Anolis sagrei: one gene and its partners. The protein of the gene in region 2 interacts with the protein of the main gene of each other region in a biochemical or structural test. Links are inferred from orthologs where the notes say so. Each region holds a gene or a part of one and is shown on either strand. Other genes may lie near its edges.

What was found.
Region 1: the proteins of ERBB4 (region 2) and NRG1 form a complex in vitro, tested with the Homo sapiens proteins (2 studies listed by BioGRID and IntAct, with this or other methods). The link is inferred for Anolis sagrei from reciprocal best matches to the Homo sapiens genes ERBB4 and NRG1.
Region 3: the proteins of ERBB4 (region 2) and RASA1 form a complex in vitro, tested with the Homo sapiens proteins (2 studies listed by BioGRID and IntAct, with this or other methods). The link is inferred for Anolis sagrei from reciprocal best matches to the Homo sapiens genes ERBB4 and RASA1.

What each region holds. Positions count from the first base shown.
Region 1 is NC_090022.1:157,783,028-157,786,775, reverse strand, and holds the start of NRG1 (pro-neuregulin-1, membrane-bound isoform), read left to right. Parts: upstream 1-793; 5' UTR 794-932; coding exon 933-1,617; intron 1,618-3,748. UniProt on the Homo sapiens protein: Direct ligand for ERBB3 and ERBB4 tyrosine kinase receptors. Concomitantly recruits ERBB1 and ERBB2 coreceptors, resulting in ligand-stimulated tyrosine phosphorylation and activation of the ERBB receptors.
Region 2 is NC_090021.1:172,653,337-172,657,084, forward strand, and holds the start of ERBB4 (receptor tyrosine-protein kinase erbB-4), read right to left. Parts: upstream 2,505-3,748; 5' UTR 1,980-2,504; coding exon 1,913-1,979; intron 1-1,912. UniProt on the Homo sapiens protein: Tyrosine-protein kinase that plays an essential role as cell surface receptor for neuregulins and EGF family members and regulates development of the heart, the central nervous system and the mammary gland, gene transcription, cell proliferation, differentiation, migration and apoptosis.
Region 3 is NC_090022.1:258,200,438-258,204,185, forward strand, and holds the start of RASA1 (ras GTPase-activating protein 1), read right to left. Parts: upstream 2,861-3,748; 5' UTR 2,719-2,860; coding exon 2,285-2,718; intron 1-2,284. UniProt on the Homo sapiens protein: Inhibitory regulator of the Ras-cyclic AMP pathway. Stimulates the GTPase of normal but not oncogenic Ras p21; this stimulation may be further increased in the presence of NCK1.

The DNA of each region.
Region 1 (3,748 bases), on a different chromosome or scaffold from region 2:
CACGAGGTCTCTTCCTACTCTGTGATTCTATGATTACATCTATTTAATGTATTTACTTAAACAGAGGCTGGATGGCCACCTGTCAGAGGTGCTTTGAATGCGATTTTCAAGCTTCTTGGCAGGGGGGTGGACTGGATGGCCCATGAGGCCTCTTCCAACTCTATGATTCTATAATCATCAACCGTTGGGGGTTTTTTTTACCTCAATCTATGCTGATAGGAATAATGGTCCATCACATCTGGTGAAGTTGGAAATCTTTGGCCATCTAGATATTTCTTGGATTTCAAGTTTCAGAACTCCCATCCCAATGGTCATTGGTAAAAGATTGTGAGAATAGGACCCAAGTTTGTCCTACTAGATTGCCCTACTTCTCCAATCTATGTTCCTATATGAAATTAGCGTTGCAATTTACAGTTGTGGTTGGTTAGTAGGGGACTGGTTGTCATATTGGCCCATGAGGTCTGTTCCAAATCTATGATTCTATCCTGTCCATTCAACAAGCTTGTTAGGGCTTCTGGGATTTGGAGGCCCACAGTTTGAGGATACCTGCTCTTCTTGACACACCCCTGCGGGAGGGAGAGCGCGCTCGCGCTCACTGTGGTGTTTACATCTGCGCGTGTGTGTTGATGCCACCTCTCTCTCTCTTTCTCCCTCCCCCCACCCCTCCGCGCAGGTGAGGCGCGAGATAGAGTGCGTCGCGTGCCTGGGGAGAGAGGTCACGCGCACCCCCTCCCCCTCTGATTGGCTGCGTTGAAGGGGGGGGGGGAGCAGAGCCTGGGAAGGGAGACACATGGCTGGAGGCGCTCGCGCCCTTCAGTCTGGACACTCCTCGCGCCTCCATCCTTCTTCCACAGTGAGCGGCGGCGAAGAAGCGAGGCACCTTCCCCTCGCTTGCATTCCCCGTCAGCCAGGCAGGCCGAGCAGGGAGAGCCATGCTGTGCTTCCTCCTCTTCCTTCTCCTCCTCCTCGTGCTGTTTGGGGCAGTGGTGAACCCTCAGTGCTCCTCTTCCTCCTCCTCCTCGGTGGAGTCGCTGGCCCAGCGCGCCTCGGTGGTGGTCGAGGGTAAGGTGCTTGAGGAAGAAGCGACGCGCGCGCCGTTCTCCTTCCTCCTCCTCCTCCTCGCGCAACCCACCGCCTCCTCCTCCTCCAGCTCCTCCTTCTCAGGGACCGTCCTCCCGCCTTCGCCAGCTCCCAGCCCGCAGCTCCCTCTCCTGCCCGCCTCTTCCTCCTCCTTCCCTCCTCCTTCCTCGCCGCCGCCGTTAGTGGCTCGGGTGCGCGTGCTCCAGGTGTGGCCGGCCAAGAGCGGCGGGCTGCGGAAGGACGCGCTGCTGTGGGTGCTGCTGGCCCCGAGGGGCTCCGTCCCCTCCTCCTCCTCCTCTCCCTCCTCCGCCTGCGGGAATAGCAGCAGGAGCAGCCGCCTCCGCCGAGAGAGCCGCTACATCTTCTTCATGGAGCCCTTGGGGAGTAGCAGCACCAGCACCAGCAGCCTCAACGGCACGGGCTCTTCGCTTTCCTCGCCGCCACCGCCGCTGCTCTTCCAGGCGTCTTCCCCGCCCCTGGAGACGGGCAGGAGTCTCAGGAAGGAGGTCAGCAGGGTCCTGTGCACCAGGGAATGTGGTAAGTCGGCGCCTCCCCGAAACTGACATCGCCATCGAGAGAGAGAGAGAGAGAGACGAAGAAGGAGAAGTAGCATCCCTGGCTTGGCTGGCCCACAGCAGCCCATCCAGCGGTGCCTTAAAGGGAGGCGGGGAAAGGGAGGAGTTGAAGTTCTGCTAGTGCCATGCCTTTCGATGGGTCGGGTCTCCTTTTATGACTCAGATCTCCTTTTTTTTTTTTTTTTTTTTTTGCTATGGGTCAGGTCCTCTTTCTCTCCAGGACTCAACCCCCCCTTTTTTCTATGGGTCAGGTCTCCTTTCTTTCTACGACAGCCCCCCCCCCTTTCTTTCTATGATTCAGTGCCCCTTTCATTCTGTAACTCAGATCCCATTTTTTTCAGTGGGTCAGGCCCCCTTTCTTTCTATGATTCAGTCCCCATTTCTTTCTACAACTCAGATCCCATTTCTTTCAGTGGGTCAAGTCCCCTTTCTTCCTACTACTCAGATGCTATTTATTTCTGTGGGTCAGCCCCCATTTCTTTCTATTACTCAGGTCCTCTTTATTTATATGACTCAGGTCCCCTTTCTTTCTATGGGTCAGGTTCCCTTTCTTTCTGTGGGTAAGCCCCTATTTCTTTCTACTACTCAGGTAGCTTTTATTTCCATGATTCAGGTCCACTTTCTTTCTATGTGTCAGGTTCCCTTTCTTTCCGTCGGTCAGGTCCCCTTTCTTTCTATTACTCAGGTCCCCTTTCTTTCTATGGGTCAGATTCCCTTTCTTTCTATGACTCGGGTCCACTTTCTTCCTACTACACAGGTGCTCTTTATTTCTATGGGTCAGGTCCTCTTTCTTTCTATGGTTCACTCCCCCTTTCTTTCTACAACTCGGATCCTATTTCTTTCAGTGGGTCAAGTCCCCTTTCTTTCTACTACTCAGGTCCCTTTTATTTCTATGGGTCAGGTTCCCTTTCTTTCTGTGGTTCAGCCCCCATTTATTTCTACTACTCAGGTCCTCTTTATTTATATGACTCAGGTCCCCTTTCTTTCTATGGGTCAGGTTCCCTTTCTTTCTGTGGGTAAGCCCCTATTTCTTTCTACTACTCAGGTAGCTTTTATTTCCATGATTCAGGTCCACTTTCTTTCTATGTGTCAGGTTCCCTTTCTTTCCGTCGGTCAGGTCCCCTTTCTTCCTACTACTCAGGTCCTCTTTATTTCTATGAGTCAGGTTGCCTTTCTTTCTATGACTCAGGTCTCATTTCTTTCTATGGGTGGTTCCCTTTCTTTCTGTGGGTCAGCCTCCATTTCTTTCTACTACTCAGGTCCCTTTCCTTTCCATGACTCAGGTCCCCTTTATTTCTGTGGGACTCTTTCTGTCTACGACTCAAGTCCAACACTCAAAAACCAGGGAATTCCAGACAGGAAACAATCAGGGACAGCTTACACCACCCAATTAAGGATTCCAACAAATCCAACAAAGGATTCCCCCATGCAAGAAGCAGCCAGGCTTTGAAGCTACAAGGCTGTTCAATGCTAATCAAGCTGGTAATTGCAATATTCACACTTGCCTCAAACAGAGGTTCCACAGATATATAAACCTGCTTGCCTAGTTTCCAACAGACCTCACAACCTCCAAGGATGCCTGCTATAAATGTGGGCAAAACATCAGGAGAGAATGCTTCTGGAATATGGTCATACATCCCAAAAAACTCACGGCAACCCTTCCAGCCTCTGTTTAAAAGCCTCAAAGGAAGGAGCTTCCGCCACACCATGAGGCAGAGAGTTCCACTATTGAACTATTGAACAGTTCTTACAGTCTTTCATGACTCAAGTCCCCTTTCTTTCTGTAGGTCAGGTTTCCTTTCTGCCGTGACCATCTTCATCTCCTTCTCCAAGCTTCTTTCCTTCTCCTCCTAATGCTTGTGCTGTGCATTGGATTTTTCCTCCTTCCTCCATCTCTCTTTTGCTCTCTCTCGAGTTGCAGGTGGGTGTAGATTTCTCCTTCTTTCAGAGACAAGTTGGGTCACAAGGGTGGGAAACTTTGCAAAAGCGTTTTGAGCCAAGTTTTGGAGATAGGCAAAAGAGCGTAAACCTCTTGGTACCTCTTGCTCCTGTTGTTTTGCTGGCTCTTGTTGGGCAAGGGACAAAAATGTGTC
Region 2 (3,748 bases):
ATTGTGGGATGTGCTGCCTTGATATTCTGGGATACAAGACTGTGTGGAAGGGCCCAAGGTAGAAAAACCCACAATATCTACTTTGTACTGGAGTATCTGAGTCCTACTGCCATATAACCCGGTTCATAGCAGATAATTTTGGAATTTTATACAACTGCGTGGAAGGGACCTCAGATCACACAGTTCAAAGCAGATATTGGGGATTATCTGCCTTGATATTTTGGGTTATATGGCTGTGTGGAAGGGCCGGAGGCTGAGCACATGGGGCCATATAATATTAAGGCAGATAACCCACAATATTTGTTTTAAACTGGGCTCTCTGGGGCCCTTTCCACACAGCCATAGAGCCCAAAATATCAAGGCAGATAATCCCCAGATCCATTTATTGTCCAGCAGCATATTTCAAATGAGTTTATATTCTATTGTCGAAGGCTTTCATGGTGGGAATCACTGGGTTGTTGTAGGTTTTTTCGGGCTATATGGCCATGTTCGAGAGGCATTCTCTCCTGACGTTTCGCCTGCATCTATGGCAAGCATCCTCACTACCTCTGAGGATGCTTGCCATAGATGCAGGTGAAACGTCAGGAGAGAATGCCTCTAGAACTACCTCTGATGGCCATATAGCCCGAAAAAACCTACAACAACCCAGTGATTCCGGCCATGAAAGCCTTCGACAATAGAATATAAACTCATTTGAAATATGCTGCTGGACAATAAATAGATCTGGGGATTATCTGCCTTGATATTTTGGGTTCTATGGCTGTGTGGAAAGAGGCATTCTCTCCTGACGTTTCGCCTGCATCTATGGCAAGCATCCTCAGAGGTAGTGAGGATGCTTGCCATAGATGCAGGCGAAACGTCAGGAGAGAATGCCACTAGAACTACCTCTGGGGATGCTTGCCATAGATGCAGGCGAAACGTCAGGAAAGAATGCCTCTAGGACATGACCATATAGCCCAAAAAACCTACAACAACCCAATATCAAGGCAGATAACGCATAAGATTTGCTTTAAACTGGGCTCTCTGGTGCCTCTTTCCACACAGCCATAGAACCCAAAATATCAAGGCAGATAATCCCCAGATCCATTTATTGTCCGGCAGCATATTTCAAATGAGTTTATAAGCTTGAGAAAAGTATAGCCAGTATCCCTACTAATTGCATTGTGGCAATATACATTCTGGCCTCAAAGGTGATGGAGAATATCTCACTACCTCTGAGGATGCTTGCCAAAGTGCAGGCGAAACGTCAGGAGAGAATGCCTCTAGACCATGGCCATACATCCCGAAAAAACCTACAACAACCCAGTGATGGATAATGTCCATATGAGAAGAGGGGGTTCTTCAAACGTCTTAGTCCCAAGCCATTCAAGGCCCTTCCACATCGCCATATAACCCAGAATATCAAGGCAGACAATCCCCATTTATTGTCCAGCAGCATCTTTCAAATGAGTTTATATTCTTCCCAAAAGCCTGAGAAAAGTATAGCCAGTATCCCCTACTAATTGCATTATGGCAATATACATTCTGCCCTCAAAGGTGATGGAGAATGTTCATATGAGAAGAGGGGGCTCTTCAAACGTCCTAGTCCCAAGCCACTCAGGGACCTTCCACATAACCTAGAATATCAAGGCAGACAATCCCCAATATCCGCTTTTGATATTGGGTGGATCTGATTCTACACTGCCTTACAATCCAGCTCCAGGTGGATCTTATAAGGACACAGCTGTACAGCATCTCAATCATCGGGTTGGAAAGAGAGTCTTGCTGAGTTGGGGAAACATAATCAAGGGAGGGGAGGGGGAGACCAAGCCGGGCCACGCGCGAGCCGCAGGTCAAAGCCCTCGAAGGAGGCAACTTTGGGGGGAAAGGGACGCCAAGGAGAGAAGAAAACCGCTATACGGATGGGACGCACCTGACTGAGCGGCGCTGAGGGTCCCGGCGACGGCGAGGAAGCCGAGGAGGAGAAGGGACAGCTTCATCTTCGGAGAGAATAAGAAGAAGAAGAAGAAGGAGACGGCGAAGGAGCAGTAGCAGCAAGACCCCTCTCTTTCTCTCCCTCTGGATTGTATGTGTGCGCGTGCCTCCTCTCGCGCTTCCCCAGTTACATGTTCCAAGCGGGCGGCAGCGCGAGGACGCAGCAGCTCCCCTCAGGCGCCCAGGTGCCCTCTTTCCCACGCCCGGAAAGAACTCCCCAAAGTTGCCGCCGCAGTTCGAGGCGCGCGCCTCCGCCTCGCGCACTTCTCACCCAAGAGGCCCCCCGAGCTGAGGAGAGTTGTCGCGTCGTCGCTTGCCCCTGCTGCCTCCTCCCGCGGCTGACGGAGCGGGGAAAGCCTCCCAGCGCCAATGCCATGGGCTCCCAACCACTCCGGCGGCGGCGGCGGCGCAGATCAACCAGCCGCGTTCCCCTCTTTCTCTCTCTCACAAACACACACACACTCTTTCTCTCTCGCGCGCGCTCTCTCCCCTCCCCAAAATCCAACACAGCTGAGGAGGGGGAGGGACCCAACAGCCGTAGCCCCGCCCCTCTGGGCTTCTTCAAAGAGTAAGCCCCGCCCACTCCGCTCCTCCCCCTCCTCTCTGTTTGCAACCCGGGAAACACCTGTCACGGGCGCGCGCTCGAGCTGTGGCGCGCGGGTTCCCAGAAAGGGAAGAAGAAGAAGAGGAGGAGGGAGAGGCTCGTTTGCAAGGCTGGCTTTTTCTTAGGTGTTGGAATGATTTTGAGGAGAAATCTGTGGACTGGAATCAGTTCGGGATGCATTGCCTTTGGAAGGGGGAGAAATGCAGCAGCAGCCGAAAGGAAGGAATCCACCCAAGCGCCTGATGCTGGCTCAGGTCCCTTCAGACCCAAGCTTCCCTCCGCCTTCCTTCCCAGGGATTCGACCATATTCCATCGCCAACTTTCTCCTTCGGAGAGATAAACGCACTCCTCTCTCCAGGACCTACCATTCCCTTTCGAGAGCATCATCCCTTCCTCCTTCTGCTGATTGCTATTTGCTGCCTTCGATCCCAACTTCTGGAGAACCACAGCGCTTTCCTTTTCGAGATGGAAAGGAAATAGGACTATAGTGTCTAGATCTAGGGAAGTCATGCTCTCCCTCTATTCCGCCTTGGTTAGACCACACCTGGAATATTGTGTCCTATTCTAGGCATCACAATTCAAGAGAGATATCGACAAACTGGAATGTGTCCAGAGGAGGGCGACTAAAATGATCAAGGGTCTGAGAACAATCCCTATGAGGGGCGGCTTAAAGAGCTGGGCATGTTTAGCTTTCAAAAGACTGGGACTTTGTGAGCTATCCAAGGGCATCCAGTAGACTTCCGTGTCTGAACAGGGACTTGAATCCTAGTCTTATGGTGTCTTCCTTCAGACTCTTGCATCATGGAGTCCTTGTGGACAACAAGTTAAACATGAGCCAACAATGTGATTTGGCAGCAAAAAAAGCCAATGGGATTTTGGCCTGCATCAATAGGAGCATAGTGTCTAGGTCCAGGGAAGTCATGCTACCCCTCTATTCTGCTTTGGTTAGACCACACCTGGAATATTGTGTCCAATTCTGGGCACCACAATTGAAGAGAGATATTGACAAGCTGGAGGGTGACTAAAATGATCAAGGGTCTGAGAACAAGCCCTATGAGGAGCGGCTTAAAGAGCTGGGCATGTTTAGCTTTCGGAAGACAGGGACTTTGTGAGCTATCCAAGGGCATCCAGTAGACTTCCGTGTCTGAACAGGGACTTGAATCCTAGTCT
Region 3 (3,748 bases), on a different chromosome or scaffold from region 2:
AACTAAATGCAGCTCTGAGTAACTGGGCACATTGTCTTCAGAAAGTCAGCTTCTTTTCCTGGAGGACAGGTAGCCCAAGTCTGTTTTACACATGGGGAGTGATGGAGGCAGAGAAAAACCTATATGGCTTTTTAAAAAAAAAGTAGACCTTATACTGCACATTAGAATTAAAGATGGGCCCTCAATGCAAATGAATTGAAGGCCATGAGGCTACAAGAATCAGTACTACCATTGGAGAAAGGTGTTAAGTAAATGGAAAGGAAGGTTCTGGACCCTTTTGGCAGATGACAACAGAGCTTCCCAATTTGCCCCTTTGCTTTGATGGAAATAACCAGGGGAAGGGACTAAATTGAGTACCACCCACTTTAATAATTTTTTAAGATTCGGCTGAAGAAAGAGGCAGGAGCAAACAAAATTTGAAGGAGTTGCCCAGAGTTTGATACAGGCTAGTTCATTTATTAATATTTAAATGTGTGTATTAAACATATAAATACAGTTAAACAACTGTTAAAAACATAGCACCTACTCCCACATTACAGACAGATGCTTGTATACGTTTGTATACAGAAAGAGATACATGTGTATACACACACATACACGCAGGGCCCTTCCACACAGCCCTATATCCCAGAATATCAGCGCAGAAAATTCCACAATCTCTGCTTTGAGCTGGGTTCTTTGAGTCCTCCATGCTTACCCAGTGTTTTAAACTTTTAATCCCTGCAACTTGCCCTGCCCAATTATTGTGATTTTATATTGTTTGGTGCGTTTATTTATATTGCTTTGTATTTTATTTTTATATTTGTTATATATTTGCTCTGCTTGGCCTCATGCAAGCCACCCTGAGTCTCCCTTAGACAGAGACTGGATGGCAGTCTGGTGGAGGTGGTTTATTATTTATTTATTTGTGGTATTTGTATACTACCCTTCTCAACAGGGTAGTTCACAAGGGTTTGATTGTGCTTATTATTTATTATTATGTGGGATTTCCTGCCTTGATATTCTGGGATATAGGGCTGTGTGGAAGGGCCCACAGATATACAAACACAAGAGAAACAATCTTACTTACTTAGGAGATCCCTCGTTGGACGAGTAAGATAGTCTTCCATAATAAGTATTCTTGTGGATCCGTAGGTGGCTGTGGAGCCCTATTCTTGATCTGCATGTTCTCCTGCACTGAGGGCATTGGTTTCCAGGTGGAAGGTGGTCTCAGTCAGGGTTGGCTTGACGCACCTTCCTCTTGGCACGTTTCTCTCTTTCACCCTCCATTTGTGCCTCTTCAAATTCTGCAGCACTGCTGGTCACAGCTGACCTCCAGCTGGAGTGCTCAAGGGCCGGGGCTTCCCAGTTTTCTGTGTCTATGCCAGAATTTTAAAGGTTGGCTTTGAGCCCATCTTTAAATCTCTTTTCCTGTCCACCAACATTCCGTTTTCTGTTCTTGAGTTCGGAGTAGAGCAACTGCTTTGGGAGACAGTGGTCGGGCATCCAGACAAAGTGGCCGATCCAGCGGAGTTGATGGCAGAGGACCATCGCTTCAATGCTGGTTGTCTTTGCTTCTTCCAGCATGATGACGTTTATTTGCCTGTCTTTCCAAGACATTTGCAGTATTTTCTGCAGGTAGTGCTGATGGAATCGTTCCAGGAGTTGCATGTGACATCTGTAGACAGTCCACGTTTTGCAGGCATATAGCAGGGTTGGGAAGACAATAGCTTTATAAACAAGCACCTTGGTATCCCTACAGATGTCCTAGTCCTCAAACACTCTCTGCTTCATATTTGTATACTATCCTTCTCAACAGGGTGGTTCACAAGGGTTTGATTGTGCTTATTATTTATTACAGGGTTAGTCAAAATGCATAGGCCAATAAGCCATTCAATTGAATGGCTTATTGGCCTATGCATTTTGACTAACCCTGTATTATGTGGGATTTCCTGCCTTGATATTCTGGGATATAGGGCTGTGTGGAAGAGCCCACAGATATACAAACACAAGAGAGACAATCAATACACACAGGCACACATGCTATTCCCTTTGACTCAGGCATGAGCAAGCTCGGGCCCTCCAGGTGTTTTGGACTTCAACTCCCACCATTCCTCACAGCCTCAGGCCCTTTCCTTTTCCCCCTCAGCCGCTTAAGCGGCTGAGGGGGAAAAGGAAGGGGCCTGAGGCTGTGAGGAATGGTGGGAGTTGAAGTCCAAAACACCTGGAGGGCCCGAGCTTGCCCCTGCCTGCTGACCTGTTCGAGGGCCTACTATTCCTCCTCCTCCTCCTCCTCCATACTCACTGGTTGGTGGGGGGCGCGTTGAGCGGGATGGCGACCTCCTCCTCCTCGTACTCGGGCCCGTCCAGCGAGTCGCCCTCGTCCACGGTGCTCAGGCCCCCGGCCGGAAGCGGCGGCTGAGGTGGCGGCGGCAGAGGAGGGAAGCCCCCCGAAGCCGAGGCCACGCTTCCTCCGCCCTCGGGAAGCTGAAGCGGCAGCGCCGGCGAGGCCTTGGCCATCTCCTCAGGGTCGGCAGGCCTCGGGTGGAGCACGGGAGAGACGCCAGAAGGGCAGGTGTCGCCGGAAAGAACCAAAGCAGCGGCGGCGGCGGGAGGAGAGCCTTTGCTACGGGCGGCGGCGGAGGTGGCGGTGGTGGCCGGAGGGCAGCCGTGTCCGCCGGGCTCCCCGGCCGCTCCCGAGCCGCCCTCTTCGCCTCCAGCCTCGGCCGCCGCCATCATGCTGCTCCGGCAAGGCCCCGCCCCTAATGGCGCAGCGCGTGCCCGGTGGGAGGGGCCAAAGCAGAATCGGTGAACGAATGATGAGGAGGGCTAGAGCGAGGATTTTATGAACGATTGAGTTGCGGCGGTTACAACAAACGGGGCGTGGCCAAATAAACCACGCCCCTTCCCCTCTTTGAGGCGGTGAATGGGAACAATGGGGAGCCGCTGTGCGCGTGCGTGCGCTTGTGTGTGTGTGTGCGCGCGCGCTCGCTCGCGGAGGGAGGGGTAGAGAGGAGGTAAGAGGCATTCGCTGCGGACGCCCCCTGCTTTCCCTTGTGTAGCCGCCGCCCTCGTCCTTTCTGCGCATGCGCTTGCCGCTTGGGAAGGCTGTTCCGAGAGTAGACGGAGGGGCGTGGCCTCAGCCGGACTACAGCTGTTCTCGCAGAAGGATTCTCCCCCTCCGATCTGGAAGCTGTTTTAGCTGCAAAGTGTTTTTCCTAATACAATAAAGGCTTAACAAAGCCAGCATCGTGACTTTCTTATATATACAGATATATTCTAATATTATAATATAATATATTGTATATACATATATTTATAATATTATAAGGTAATGCAATATAATAATAAGATATTATAATTCTATATTTATATTAGATGTAATATTACTAATAATACTACAATATAATGGGGCCGACCAAGGGCAAGATGGATGGATGGCATCCTTGAAGTGACTGGACTGACCTTGAAGGAGCTGGGGGTGGTGATGGCTGACAGGGAGATCTGGCGTGGGCTGGTCCATGAGGTCACGAAGAGTCGGAGACAACTGAACGAATGAACAACAACAATAATGGTATAATACTATATAGTAATATTTAATACTGATATTGTACTATGCTAATAACAAAATATATATACAATAAATTATATTATCTGCTCTGAGTCCCCTTCGGCGTGAGAAGGGCGTCATATAAATGTCGTAAATAAATAAATATTGACATAATAATAATAATAAAACTTTATTTATATCCCGCTACCATCTCCCAAG